Linked DNA regions of Macaca fascicularis. The protein of the gene in region 1 purifies or fractionates together with the protein of each later gene. This does not show direct contact. Links are inferred from orthologs where the notes say so. Each region holds a gene or a part of one and is shown in the gene's direction. Other genes may lie near its edges.

Region 1 (3,975 bases):
GAGCTGGCGCTCAAAGCGCGCATACCAGCGCCGCTGCTACAGGCGCACGCGGCGGCCCAGGCGCTACTGCGCCCGCTGGTGGCCGGGACCCGGGCAGCGGCGCCCTACCTCCTGCGGACGCTGCTGTACTGGGCGTGCGAGCGGCTGCCCGCGCTCTACCTGGCGCGGCCAGAAAATGCGGGCGCCTGCTGCCTCGGGCTGCTAGACGAGCTGGGCCGAGTGCTCGAGGCTGGGACTTTGCCTCACTATTTTCTGAACGGCCGAGAGCTCCGTACCGGGGACGGCTCCGCTGCGCTGCTCGGAGAATTGGTCCGGCTCCGCGGGGACCCTGCCCGGGCCCTCCGTGCCGCGGTGGAGGAGGCCAAGGTGGCCCGCAAAGGGGGCGGTTTGGCCGGCGTGGGGGGCGGGGCCCATTAAAGATGCTGTTCCTACCAGTGGAAAGTGCCTCTGTGGGCGAGCGAGACGTGGGGGGCACAGCTCGCCCCTCGCCTGGGGGACTGACTGTGTGCCCTGGGCCTGAAGCCCCCCTTCTGGAAGGCCTCCCTGTTGGTTCCTCCTCTAGGACCACCCGCCTGCCCCGGCACAAGTTGCCCCATTCCAGCCTGGCTACTCTACACTTCTGTGGCCAGCACTCCGCCCAGGGGCAGCTTCCAGAAACCGTCTGTCCCCAGTTCTTTTGGTCATTTCTCTTAAGGGTCAATAGAAATGGGAGAAACATGTTTGCTGACCAAACGCGGAAAGGAGTTATGGAGACCAGGGTCTGATCAATTTGGCTCACACACAAAGGCAGAGATATGAAGGAGGCCGGATTTCGCCCGAGGCTGGATCTCACCACTACCCCTCCTCCATCTCTCCAGTTCTTCCCCCACTTTCCTCGTGCTGTTCTGTCCTCGCTAACATCCCGGCCAGTAGGGTCCCTTTCCATTCTCCCAGCGTCCGCCATTCCATCTCCCTTGGGCCCAACCTCTCCTTCCTATCCAGAGGTGCGTTCGGGAGGCCTTCTTGTCCCTCCTTCTCTGAAGGCTGAGACGTGCGGCCTTGCCTCGGCTTTGCCTGCTTGTAAGACACAGTCCGCGCTCTCTACCTCCAAGGAACCCCGGGGTTCCTCCTGCCCGGCTTCACCCTCCTATTTCCCAGCGTCTCCGCCCCCTGCCCCGCCCCCGGGCCGGCTCTCCGAGGAGGGGGAACTGCTGTCGCCGCCGCCGCCGCCTCAGCTTCCCACAGCCGCTGCCGCTGCCGCCGCTGCCGCCGCTCTGCCTGGTCCAGCCACCGGCCCAGTGCTCTGACTTCGCCGGACCGGGGAGCTCTGCAGAGACACCCTCACTCCTTCCCCAGGGTCCGGGACGCCTAGCCGGGCGTGGGGGGAAGCTCCGTTTGCGGGGGACAGGGAGGGAGGAGCCTGGAGCCGAAGCCAGCGCCACCCGTCGCCGGATCAACAGGACAGGACAGGTTGAGGGGCGTCGGGGAAAGGAAGAGGGGGTGCTATAGGCAATCCCGGGGAGGACGAGGAAGCCCTGTCGCAGGAAGCTGTGATCCGCTCTGACTTGTAGGGGGCCTGTTCACATTTGGGGACTGGTGACAACGTGGGTGCACTCCTCACTCGGGGGGCTGGTTAGATTGGAGGGCGTGGGATCTAAACAGCACCAGCTGTCCCCAAGAAAATTTAAGGGGCAGCCAGGGGAGAAAAAAAAAGCAAACACGGATGCTCCTCATTTTGAGGTGGCGGAAGGCCCTCCAGACAACTACGTGGTGTATCCACTAGGAAGGGTGGATTTGGAGGTGACTTCAAAAGGAGCGGAGGGTGTGAAGGTGAAGAAACGGTCTTGGCCGCTAGAATTCTATGCTACTAGACATGGGGGTGACTTGGTGAAAAAGCTGTTATCCAGCCAGAGGGTCTGGGAGCCCCGTCTTACTGAATCTGGGCAACCTGGATACTCTGAGACATATTTTGGGGAGATTTCAGTGAAAAAAGTGGGGGATCCCCTCCATTTAGAGTGTAGCAAAGGAAAAAACACCAAGGTTGGGTTCCTTCCTGACATTGGCAGTGCCCCAGTAGGGGTGGGATGAGCGAATATCCCCAAAGCTAAAGTCTCACACCCTGTAGATTACAAGAGTGGATTTGGTAGAAGTGTGCCCCCAAATACAGTGGAAAGGTGCCTGGAGATATTTTAACCACGTCTTGGAAATTTGGGGGGTCTTGGTTTTGGGATAGGTGAAGTGGGGACAGACACTAGAGAGGAGGGAAAGGGGACGTTTTCAGTAGGAGGCAAAACTCGAGGGTGGGATCCACTGAGGAGTACATAGGCTGCTGGATCCGGTGGAGCCAGCACTGGGCCCACGGGTGGCAACTGGCTGCTGTGGAGGGGTGTACGTGGGGTGGGGGGTTCTGGGGCTTATCCTCAGGTCCTGTGGGTGGGGCAGCGAGTCGGGGCCTGAGCGTCAAGAGCATGCCCTAGTGAGCGGGCTGGAGCCCAGCGCGCTCCTGGCGCTGGCCGGTTTGGGGGTGTCTCCTCCCGGGGCGCCATGGCGGCGCTGGCCAGTAGCCTGATCCGGCAGAAGCGGGAGGTCCGCGAGCCCGGGGGCAGCCGGCCGGTGTCGGCACAGCGGCGGGTGTGTCCCCGCGGCACCAAGTCCCTTTGCCAGAAGCAGCTCCTCATCCTGCTGTCCAAGGTGCGACTGTGCGGGGGGCGGCCCGCGCGGCCGGACCGCGGCCCGGGTGAGTGCGGCTGGGGCTGGGTCTCCCGGCCAGAGGTTTCTCTGCCTGGGAGATTGAGGCCAGGGACTCTGAAGGATAGGGCCCGGCTGAGGGGCTCCTCGAAAGTGGAAGGGGGTGGGCCAGGACTACAAAGTCCCTGCCAGACTGTGCCTCAGTTTCCCTTCTCTTTAGTCCATAACCCGGAGTCTCCTTATTTTCGAGGTCAAGGGGAAGGCTTGAGGGGCTAAGTCTGTATCCCCGAAAGCCTCGCAGTTCCTGCTTGTCCCCCCTCCCCAACACAGCAGTCCCCACCCCCATCGTCCTCCGCCTACGTGCCGGTTCTCGCGATTCTTTCAATCTGGAGCGGAGAGGCCTGGGGGTTTCCAGATGCCTGGGTCACCCCAAGGGTTTCTGCAGCTCCAGCAGCACGCCCCCCCAGCCCCTGCCCGCCCCGGTTCTCCCGCTCCTCCACGCCTGGGCTCGGTTCCTCCTGGTCGAGCTCTTCTGGCTCCGAGCCAATCTCCCCAGCTCTCCCTCGGGTGTCCTTGCAGCTACCTCGCCAGCCAGCCCTCTATGCGCCCTCCTCCCGTGACCTGCGCTTCAAGAACGGAGCTGGGCACCCCCTCCCATAACCCCCGCGCCACTCCGAAATCGGGTCCCGTAGGCTCAGGGGACCCTACGCTGGGAGGAACTCAGACACAGTTCACGGCTAGAGATCGGCGCAGACTCTTGGGGGTCGTACCACCTACAAGGGGGGACAGGGAAGTCGGCAGAGAGCAAGCGATGGGGGAGGAGAGTTCTGAGAGTTAGAGTGTGGTCCCCGTCCAGGTGCGACAGTCAGGGAGTCCCTCTGGCCCTGCTCCCGCCCGCTCCCAACTCCCTTAAGGGTAGCCCCCTCGCGCCCTCCTCCCCGCGCCACCGGCTGCCCATAGTGGTACAATCCGCAGCCCACCCTCTGAGTGGGACCGGGCCCCCACGTGACTCAGCCTGCCTTTCCATCTCCTCAGCTCCCACCCCCCATATCCTTGGTGATGTCCCCCTTACCCCAGGCGGGTTACCTGGCCGAAGGGGAGAGGCTGAGCCTCAGGGAGAGCTGGGCCCCCGCGAGCCAGCAGACAGACAGACAGACAGACGGGTCAGTGTCAGACAGACCGGCACCGGGCCAAGGCAAGGCTCTCGCCAAGCTAGCGGCAGCCGCAGCAGGTGCTGAGTCAGCGTCAGGCCCAGTCCCACCCCCACCCCTGAGGGAGAGCCCCTACCCTGTGGTCAATTTGCTGCTG
Region 2 (3,500 bases), about 75 Mb from region 1:
CAGCCCAGCCTGTACAGGCTGAGCAAGGTGGGAGGGTGGCAAGTAGCAGTTCCAGTGGCCCCTGGCTGGTGTGAGCAGTGACACGGGTCCTGGGCATTGGGTGTGGGCCGTGGTTACAGTTGGGGTCTGCTCTGATGTGTCTGTACTTGGTGCTACACTAGGAAGATCAGTTTCCTGCTCTGGAGGTCGAGTGGGCTTTGGGCAACTGGCTAAAGAGAGTGCTGTCAGAGCCTGCCCTGACTGGCGTGTCCCACCTGCCATCCCCAGGTGCAGGTTGTAGAGTTGAAAGTTACATGGATTACCAAAAGTTTCTGTCCAGGGGGCACGGACAGCGTCAGCCCCCCACCCTCTGTCATCACCCAGGAAAACCTAGGCAGGTGAGCACGCCCTTACTGCCAGCAACCCAGGGGCACGCGCGGAACAGGCCTCTGGGCCCTGGCCACATGCCCGGGGAGGCTCAAGAACACTGCTGGCCTCCCAGGAGTCCAGCTCAGCTCACCCCTGCTTCTTTCCCAACCAGGGTGAAGCGTCTCGGATGCTTTGACCATGCTCAGCGGCAGCTTGGGGAGCGCTGTCTGTATGTCTTCCCAGCCAAGGTAGAGCCAGCCAAGATTGCCTGGGAATGTCCAGAAAAAAACTGCGCCCAGGGGGAGGGCTCTATGGCCAAGAAGGTATGTCCTTGGGGTTGGGGGTTGGTGGGCATTTGAGGAACTGGCCTTGAGCCATTTCCATGGCCAAAAAGGACAGTCTGTGCTTTAGGCCTTGGGGGGCAGCCCTGATGACCCTTGCCGGCTACTCAGGTGTATACAACTGTCATCCCCCCAGCCTGAGATGCCTAGGGCCAGGCCTGCCCAGGTGCACCTCACAGCCCTGTCCTCTCTGCTCCGCCCTTGCAGGTGAAGCGCCTGTTGAAGAAGCAGGTTGTGCGGATCATGTCGTGCTCTCCAGACACCCAGTGTTCCCGGGACCATTCCATGGAAGACCCAGACAAGAAGGGGGAAACCAAAGCCAAGAGTGAAGCAGAGTCTGCCAGTCCCGAGGAGACGCCTGATGGCTCTGCCAGTCCAGTGGAGATGCAGGACGAAGGTGCAGAGGAGCCCCACGAGGCAGGAGAGCAGCTGCCCCCATTCCTGCTAAAAGAAGGCAGAGATGACAGGCTGCACTCGGCAGAGCAGGACGCAGATGATGAGGCTGCTGACGACACGGACGACACCAGCTCAGTGACCTCCTCTGCCAGCTCCACCACTTCCTCCCAGAGCGGCAGTGGCACGAGTCGCAAAAAGAGCATCCCCTTGTCCATCAAGAACTTAAAGCGCAAACACAAGAGGAAGAAGAATAAAATCACTCGAGATTTCAAGCCAGGGGACAGGTAAACTCAGAGTTGTGCCCCTCCCCAGCGGCGTCAGCGTGAAGCCAGGCAGAGTGCGCGTCCCCTGGGTGTGCGTGCCTGTGCTCGCACACACACCTCTGCATGCCTTGTAGTGGCTCAGGGACGCCCATCCGAGACAGCGTAGGTGCCTGGGGTAGGCCCTGGTGGAAAGCGGAGACTGAGGAGTGGTGCAGAGGGTGGGATGGTGGTGGCCTTAAGCTTGGCCTTCTGGGAACACATTTGCCTGAGCTCTCCCAAGTGGGTCTCGTTCTCAAGAGAGTGCATGGCCTCGGAACCCTGGGTGAGCTTCCTGTGCACCAGAAACTCATCCTGCCAACTTGGGATTCGGAGTTTCAGGTTACTAAGCCCACAGGGACAGGAAGGGACAAAAAGATTCTCTGCCCTTTCCGTGGGCGGGGGTGGCGTTTGCATGGCCTGCTGACTGGCCTGCATCCGGCAGGGTGGCAGTGGAGGTGGTGACCACGATGACCTCAGCTGACGTGATGTGGCAGGATGGCTCTGTGGAATGCAACATCCGCTCCAACGACCTCTTTCCTGTGCACCACCTGGACAACAACGAGTTCTGCCCCGGAGACTTCGTGGTAGATAAGCGAGGTAGTGCCAGCTCTGGAAGGGCAGCCAGCAGGGTGGTTGCCAGTGAGGGCCCAGGTTGGGGCTTGTGGAGAATGGGCAGTGGATCTGGGGTCAGAGCTAAAATGAGGTCCAGAAGGGGACTGCCCTCATGAAGGGGTCTCACCACTTCCAAGACGGGGGAAGGTCACAGTTTGCACCCTGCACTGGCTTGAGATGTCGGCTCCTTAGCCGGGATCCCTTAGCTAGTCACATCCCTTCCTCTGGTTCCCTAGTCCAGAGCTGTCCAGACCCTGCTGTCTACGGCGTGGTACAGTCTGGGGACCACCTCGGCCGCACCTGCATGGTGAAGTGGTTCAAGCTGCGGCCGAGTGGGGACGACGTGGAGGTGTGTGCAGCCCCTACTGCTTTCTTCAGGTGGGCTCTGGGGTTAGGTGTAGGACCCGTAGCTCATGACAACCTGTCCTGTGCCACAGCTGATTGGAGAAGAGGAAGACGTGAGTGTTTACGACATTGCTGACCACCCTGACTTTAGGTTCCGTACAACTGACATCGTCATCCGCATCGGCAATACTGAGGACGGGGCTCCTCACAAGGAGGATGAGGTGTGCCTTCCAATTCAAGTTCTGGATCGCTGCTCACTGCCCTGTGCACCAGCTGCAGTCCCTGATGCTGCCACCAGGTGGCTCTAGGAGACAAGACCTGAAAGTCCTCTGGGCTCAGTGTCCCCAGGGCAGCTGCCCCAAAGTCAAGCTGCTGCTCAGCCCTAGCAGCTGCAGAAGGACTTGTTTCCCTGCCTCGCTTCTGGGGTCAGGCTTCTTCAGCTGCCGCTGGTTACGTTTACCAGAGGAGCTAAGTTCTTATCACGAGCTGGGTGGGCATGATGTCAGTCACTGCAGAGCACAGGAGGGGCTGGGGAGCTGGAGCTTGAGCTGGACCCCCTGACTTTGTCCCCTTTGCCCAGCAGCCATCGGTGGGCCAGGTGGCCCGTGTGGACGTCAGCAGCAAGGTGGAGGTGGTGTGGGCTGACAACTCAAAGACCATCATCCTGCCCCAGGTGAGGCTCTGGCAAGACCCCCCACTGGGCTTGTGACTATGGCAGCTTGGGCTGGGGACCATAGTCGTGTAGCCAGAAGATGGGCTCTCAGGTCTTCCTGGTGAGATCTCAGCAAAAGCATGAGGGGGCAAGGCAGGCATTCCACACAGCCCTTGGTGCAGGGTTGGGGGCAGCCCGCAGTTGGCCCACCAGCCTCGCTTCTCCCAGCAGTCTCTTCCCGGCCATCCATCGCTGGTGCATGTAGACTTTCACAGACCTCCAGGATTTTCCTGGATTGTCAGCTCACTGTGCTGCGAAGAATGCAAGTTCCCTCCTAAAAGGAGATGGAAACTTTCCTACCACCTTTTCTAGAAAGCTCTAACAGAGAAGGAGAGAAAGGAGCTGGTGCAGTTCTAACCCCAGCTGCTGGGTCCTGAGCAGAAGAGCTACATGGGCTCTCCTTCCCTCGCCTCCTGGTTGGAGCCACACAGCCCAGCTTTCCTC
Region 3 (3,500 bases), on another chromosome or scaffold:
ATGTGATCCTGACAGATGCTTGAATTTGAGAACCAGTAATCTACAGAAATACCGTTCCTTATCTGCCCTAAATTGTTCTTCTGTTTTTGCCAGGTCTAGTTCCAATCCAGATGGGACCAGGTACCTCTATTATCTGGGATTACTATAGCTGGTACAGGTTTAGAATCAGTAGTCCCTTATCACAGGCACTAATGGCATAATATTGTTAGGGTGGGTGAAAGAGCTGCAACACGGAAGCATCCACAACATTTTCATTCATACCACCAATTAGAGCCTAGAGGAGCAGAAGTGAGAGGGTTATAAAAGGTAACTCCAATTAAGAGTGTTCCCTTGACTTAAATGAAAGTCCCTTGGGGACTGCACTCTGTAGAGTTGGGGCCACTGAGGTTTTTCTATCCTTGTTTTTTTCTTTCCTGGCTCTAGCTGCATCCTACACAGATAGCTCTGATGATGAGGTTTCTCCCCGAGAGAAGCAGCAAACCAACTCCAAGGGCAGCAGCAATTTCTGTGTGAAGAACATCAAGCAGGCCGAATTTGGACGCCGGGAGATTGAGATTGCAGAGCAAGGTAAAGAAAGGGAGTGGTTTAGGGGACGAGAAACGACCCTCTTGTTGGCCATCAGAATCCACAAACAACTTAAGACTTGAAAGCTGACTTGAAAGTATACTGGGAAGAAAGTATTATGGACTTCCGGATACACACTTCTCTCTCTATGGAACTTGAGTCTCAGGATTCTTGTTCTCTCTTCCTTCTGTTCTCAGCATGTGGTGATGACACACAGAGTAGTTTCTGTTTTCCTCCCCGCCCCACCCCACCACCGTATTCAAAGATCTACATGGCAGAATTGGCAAGTCCTAGATCACTACTTGGTAGTTGGTTATATGGGATCTTACTATAGCTGCCAATGCCAGAGACCCAGATTGCCCAGAAACAGCTGATGAGGAAGGGTTTTAAGCTAAGGATGTGGTGACCTAGCGTCTTGTTTGGTCCTGAGCACCCTCTGCTGGAGCAGAGTAAAAGTGACTGACAAACAGTTGAATCTTGGTTTCCCTACCCCAACCACTCCCAGTAAGGTCCTCTTTACTCTTGTGTTGTTTACACATTGAAGGCATGTTCTTTACTGAAAGAGAATAGAGAAACCAAACAGACTGACAGGATACGGTAAGACAGCATAGAAAAACAGAAGTTAGTGATTTCAGCTGAGGGTACAGTCTTTCTGGTCTGATGATTTTATATATAGGGATCTGTTAGCCAGTGCCTTAACTACTTTCCTCTCTTCCCAAATGAATGATGAGATTTACCCTTCATTTTGATCAGTTTTAAGGATTTACTTCATTCTCTGTTCAGTCCTCTGTGTATAAAGCTGAAGCAGTAGAGGAAGAGAGAAACTCCAAGTGGTTGCATGACCGCTCTCCACTATTACTGTGCTGTTGAAGCTGCCAGTCATCATGAAAATAGGCTTAAAGTTTTTCTGTCTCATCTCACCGTATCTCAACAGATCCAGACCAGCCCTGGGGCAGGAACTGATGATACTGCTAGTGCAGACCTAGCTCAAATCCTCTGTTCTTTCACAGACATGTCTGCTCTGATTTCACTCAGGAAACGTGCTCAGGGGGAGAAGCCCTTGGCTGGTGCTAAAATAGTGGGCTGTACACACATCACAGCCCAGACAGCGGTGAGTTTGTTGGAAGAAAAGAGGGACTTCTGATAAGGGGAAGAAAGAAATCAATGTTTTTTTTTGTTTCACTTTTCCTTCCTAACTCACCAACCTCCAAATGCTAACTATTAGTAGGATCTCCCTGCTACACAATAGTGGGGTTTTCTGGGGGTTTTTTGTATGTGTAAACCCACTTTCAGCAAACTTAACCTAGGAAAGTCTAGATTTGCAAACATATGATTGTTATAAAATGTTATGAAGACTTTTAGAAACCTACGTTTTATGTAAAGTTAAACACCAGTGCACCACCTCGCTGGAGTACACCCCTTTCTAACTTCCCAGTGTAGCGCCTGTTGGTGCAGAGTTGATAGGTATTGTTATCTTGCTGAGGCTTGCTCTCCATTCCTGGGTGGCCCTTCTCTTCCTCACCCTGTCTTCCTATACCTCTACACAGGTGTTGATTGAGACACTCTGTGCTCTGGGGGCTCAGTGCCGCTGGTCTGCTTGTAACATCTACTCAACTCAGAATGAAGTAGCTGCAGCACTGGCTGAAGCTGGTAAGTTCAGTATTTTTTTTTTTTTTTTACCAAATTTGCCCCAAAATAGTTATCCAAACATATAACTTTTATGTATCAAAATTGTCATTACAATGTCATATATGTCTAGAGGCTGTAAAATTGGGGATGGTGAAAACCTCAACAGGAAGAATGTGGATAATAAAATTAAGATGTATATCCATGATGGAATATTATGTAGTCATTAAAAATGACCTTTGAAAATAATCTAATGGCATGGGGACATGCACAGTTCTGGTGTTAGTTGAACGAGGAAGAATGTTAAACTATATACGTGCTATCAGTTTTGTGAGAGAGCACAAGTAGGAAGTGCCTTTTATATTGATAGTGCATTAAATAATTTGGTATTCAGTATGGCATTGAAAATATATGAGCTATTCATGAGTTTAATTAAACAAAATAATTTTTTATTATTCAGGCCAGGCCTGGTGGCCCATGCCTGTAATCCCAGCACTTTGGGAGGCCGAGGCGGGCAGATCACTTGAGGCCAGGAGTTCAAGACCAGCCTGGCCAACATGGTAAAACCCCACCTCTACTAAAAATACAAAAGTTAGCCGGGAGTGGTGGTGTGCGCCTGTAATTTCAGCTACTCCGGAGGCTGAGGTAGGAGAATCACTTGAACCCGGGAGGCAGAGACTGCAGTGATCCGAGATCATGCCACTGCACTGCAGCCTGGGTGACAGAGTGAAACTCCATCTCAAAAATTAATAACAATAATAATAATTTTTATTATTCAAATGTTCAGAAGAAAATCACCATGAAGTTTCTTTGAGGACCTCTCATCTTTCTCTCTTCCCTTCTCTTTCTTCTCTTTCTCTTTCTCTTTCTCTTTCTCTTTCTCTTTCTCTTTATCAAGATGGAGCCTTACTCTGTTGCCCAGGCTGGAGTGCAATGGTGCAGTCTCGGCTAACTGCAACCCCTGCCTCCTGGATTCAAGTGATTATCGTGCCTCAGCCTCCTGAGTAGCTGGGATTGCAGATGCACGCCACCACACCCAGCTAATTTTTGTATTTGTAGTAGAGATGGGGTTTCACCATGTTGGCCAGGCTAGTCTCGAACTCCTGACCAGCCTGGATGTTTGATCTGCCTGCCTTGGCCTCCCAAAGTGCTGGGATTACAGGCGTGAGACACTGCACCCAGCCAGACCTCTCATCTTTCTAAGAACCTCAGAAAGTAACTTTATAATACTTCTGGGGTTTTTTGTTTATTCTTTTCTGATAAGTGTTTACTGCAAAAAATTTAGGAAGTTCCCAAAAAACCTACAATCC

Evidence for each region. Proteins that work in one complex are often made in the same cells at the same time.
Region 2: the proteins of FGF11 (region 1) and UBE2O purify together in Homo sapiens (affinity purification with mass spectrometry; 3 studies listed by BioGRID and IntAct, with this or other methods). This does not show direct contact. The link is inferred for Macaca fascicularis from reciprocal best matches to the Homo sapiens genes FGF11 and UBE2O.
Region 3: the proteins of FGF11 (region 1) and AHCYL1 purify together in Homo sapiens (affinity purification with mass spectrometry; 3 studies listed by BioGRID and IntAct, with this or other methods). This does not show direct contact. The link is inferred for Macaca fascicularis from reciprocal best matches to the Homo sapiens genes FGF11 and AHCYL1.

The regions. Positions count from the first base shown.
Region 1 is NC_088390.1:7,485,129-7,489,103, forward strand, and holds the start of FGF11 (fibroblast growth factor 11), read left to right. Parts: upstream 1-1,175; 5' UTR 1,176-2,523; coding exon 2,524-2,716; intron 2,717-3,975. Other genes in the region: TMEM102 (transmembrane protein 102), read left to right, coding at 1-417.
Region 2 is NC_088390.1:82,842,952-82,846,451, reverse strand, and holds part of UBE2O ((E3-independent) E2 ubiquitin-conjugating enzyme), read left to right. Parts: intron 1-267; coding exon 268-377; intron 378-520; coding exon 521-671; intron 672-896; coding exon 897-1,369; intron 1,370-1,829; coding exon 1,830-1,984; intron 1,985-2,235; coding exon 2,236-2,348; intron 2,349-2,436; coding exon 2,437-2,565; intron 2,566-2,924; coding exon 2,925-3,017; intron 3,018-3,500. UniProt on the Homo sapiens protein: E2/E3 hybrid ubiquitin-protein ligase that displays both E2 and E3 ligase activities and mediates monoubiquitination of target proteins. Negatively regulates TRAF6-mediated NF-kappa-B activation independently of its E2 activity.
Region 3 is NC_088375.1:124,301,820-124,305,319, reverse strand, and holds part of AHCYL1 (S-adenosylhomocysteine hydrolase-like protein 1), read left to right. Parts: intron 1-423; coding exon 424-567; intron 568-1,574; coding exon 1,575-1,675; intron 1,676-2,111; coding exon 2,112-2,214; intron 2,215-3,500. UniProt on the Homo sapiens protein: Multifaceted cellular regulator which coordinates several essential cellular functions including regulation of epithelial HCO3(-) and fluid secretion, mRNA processing and DNA replication.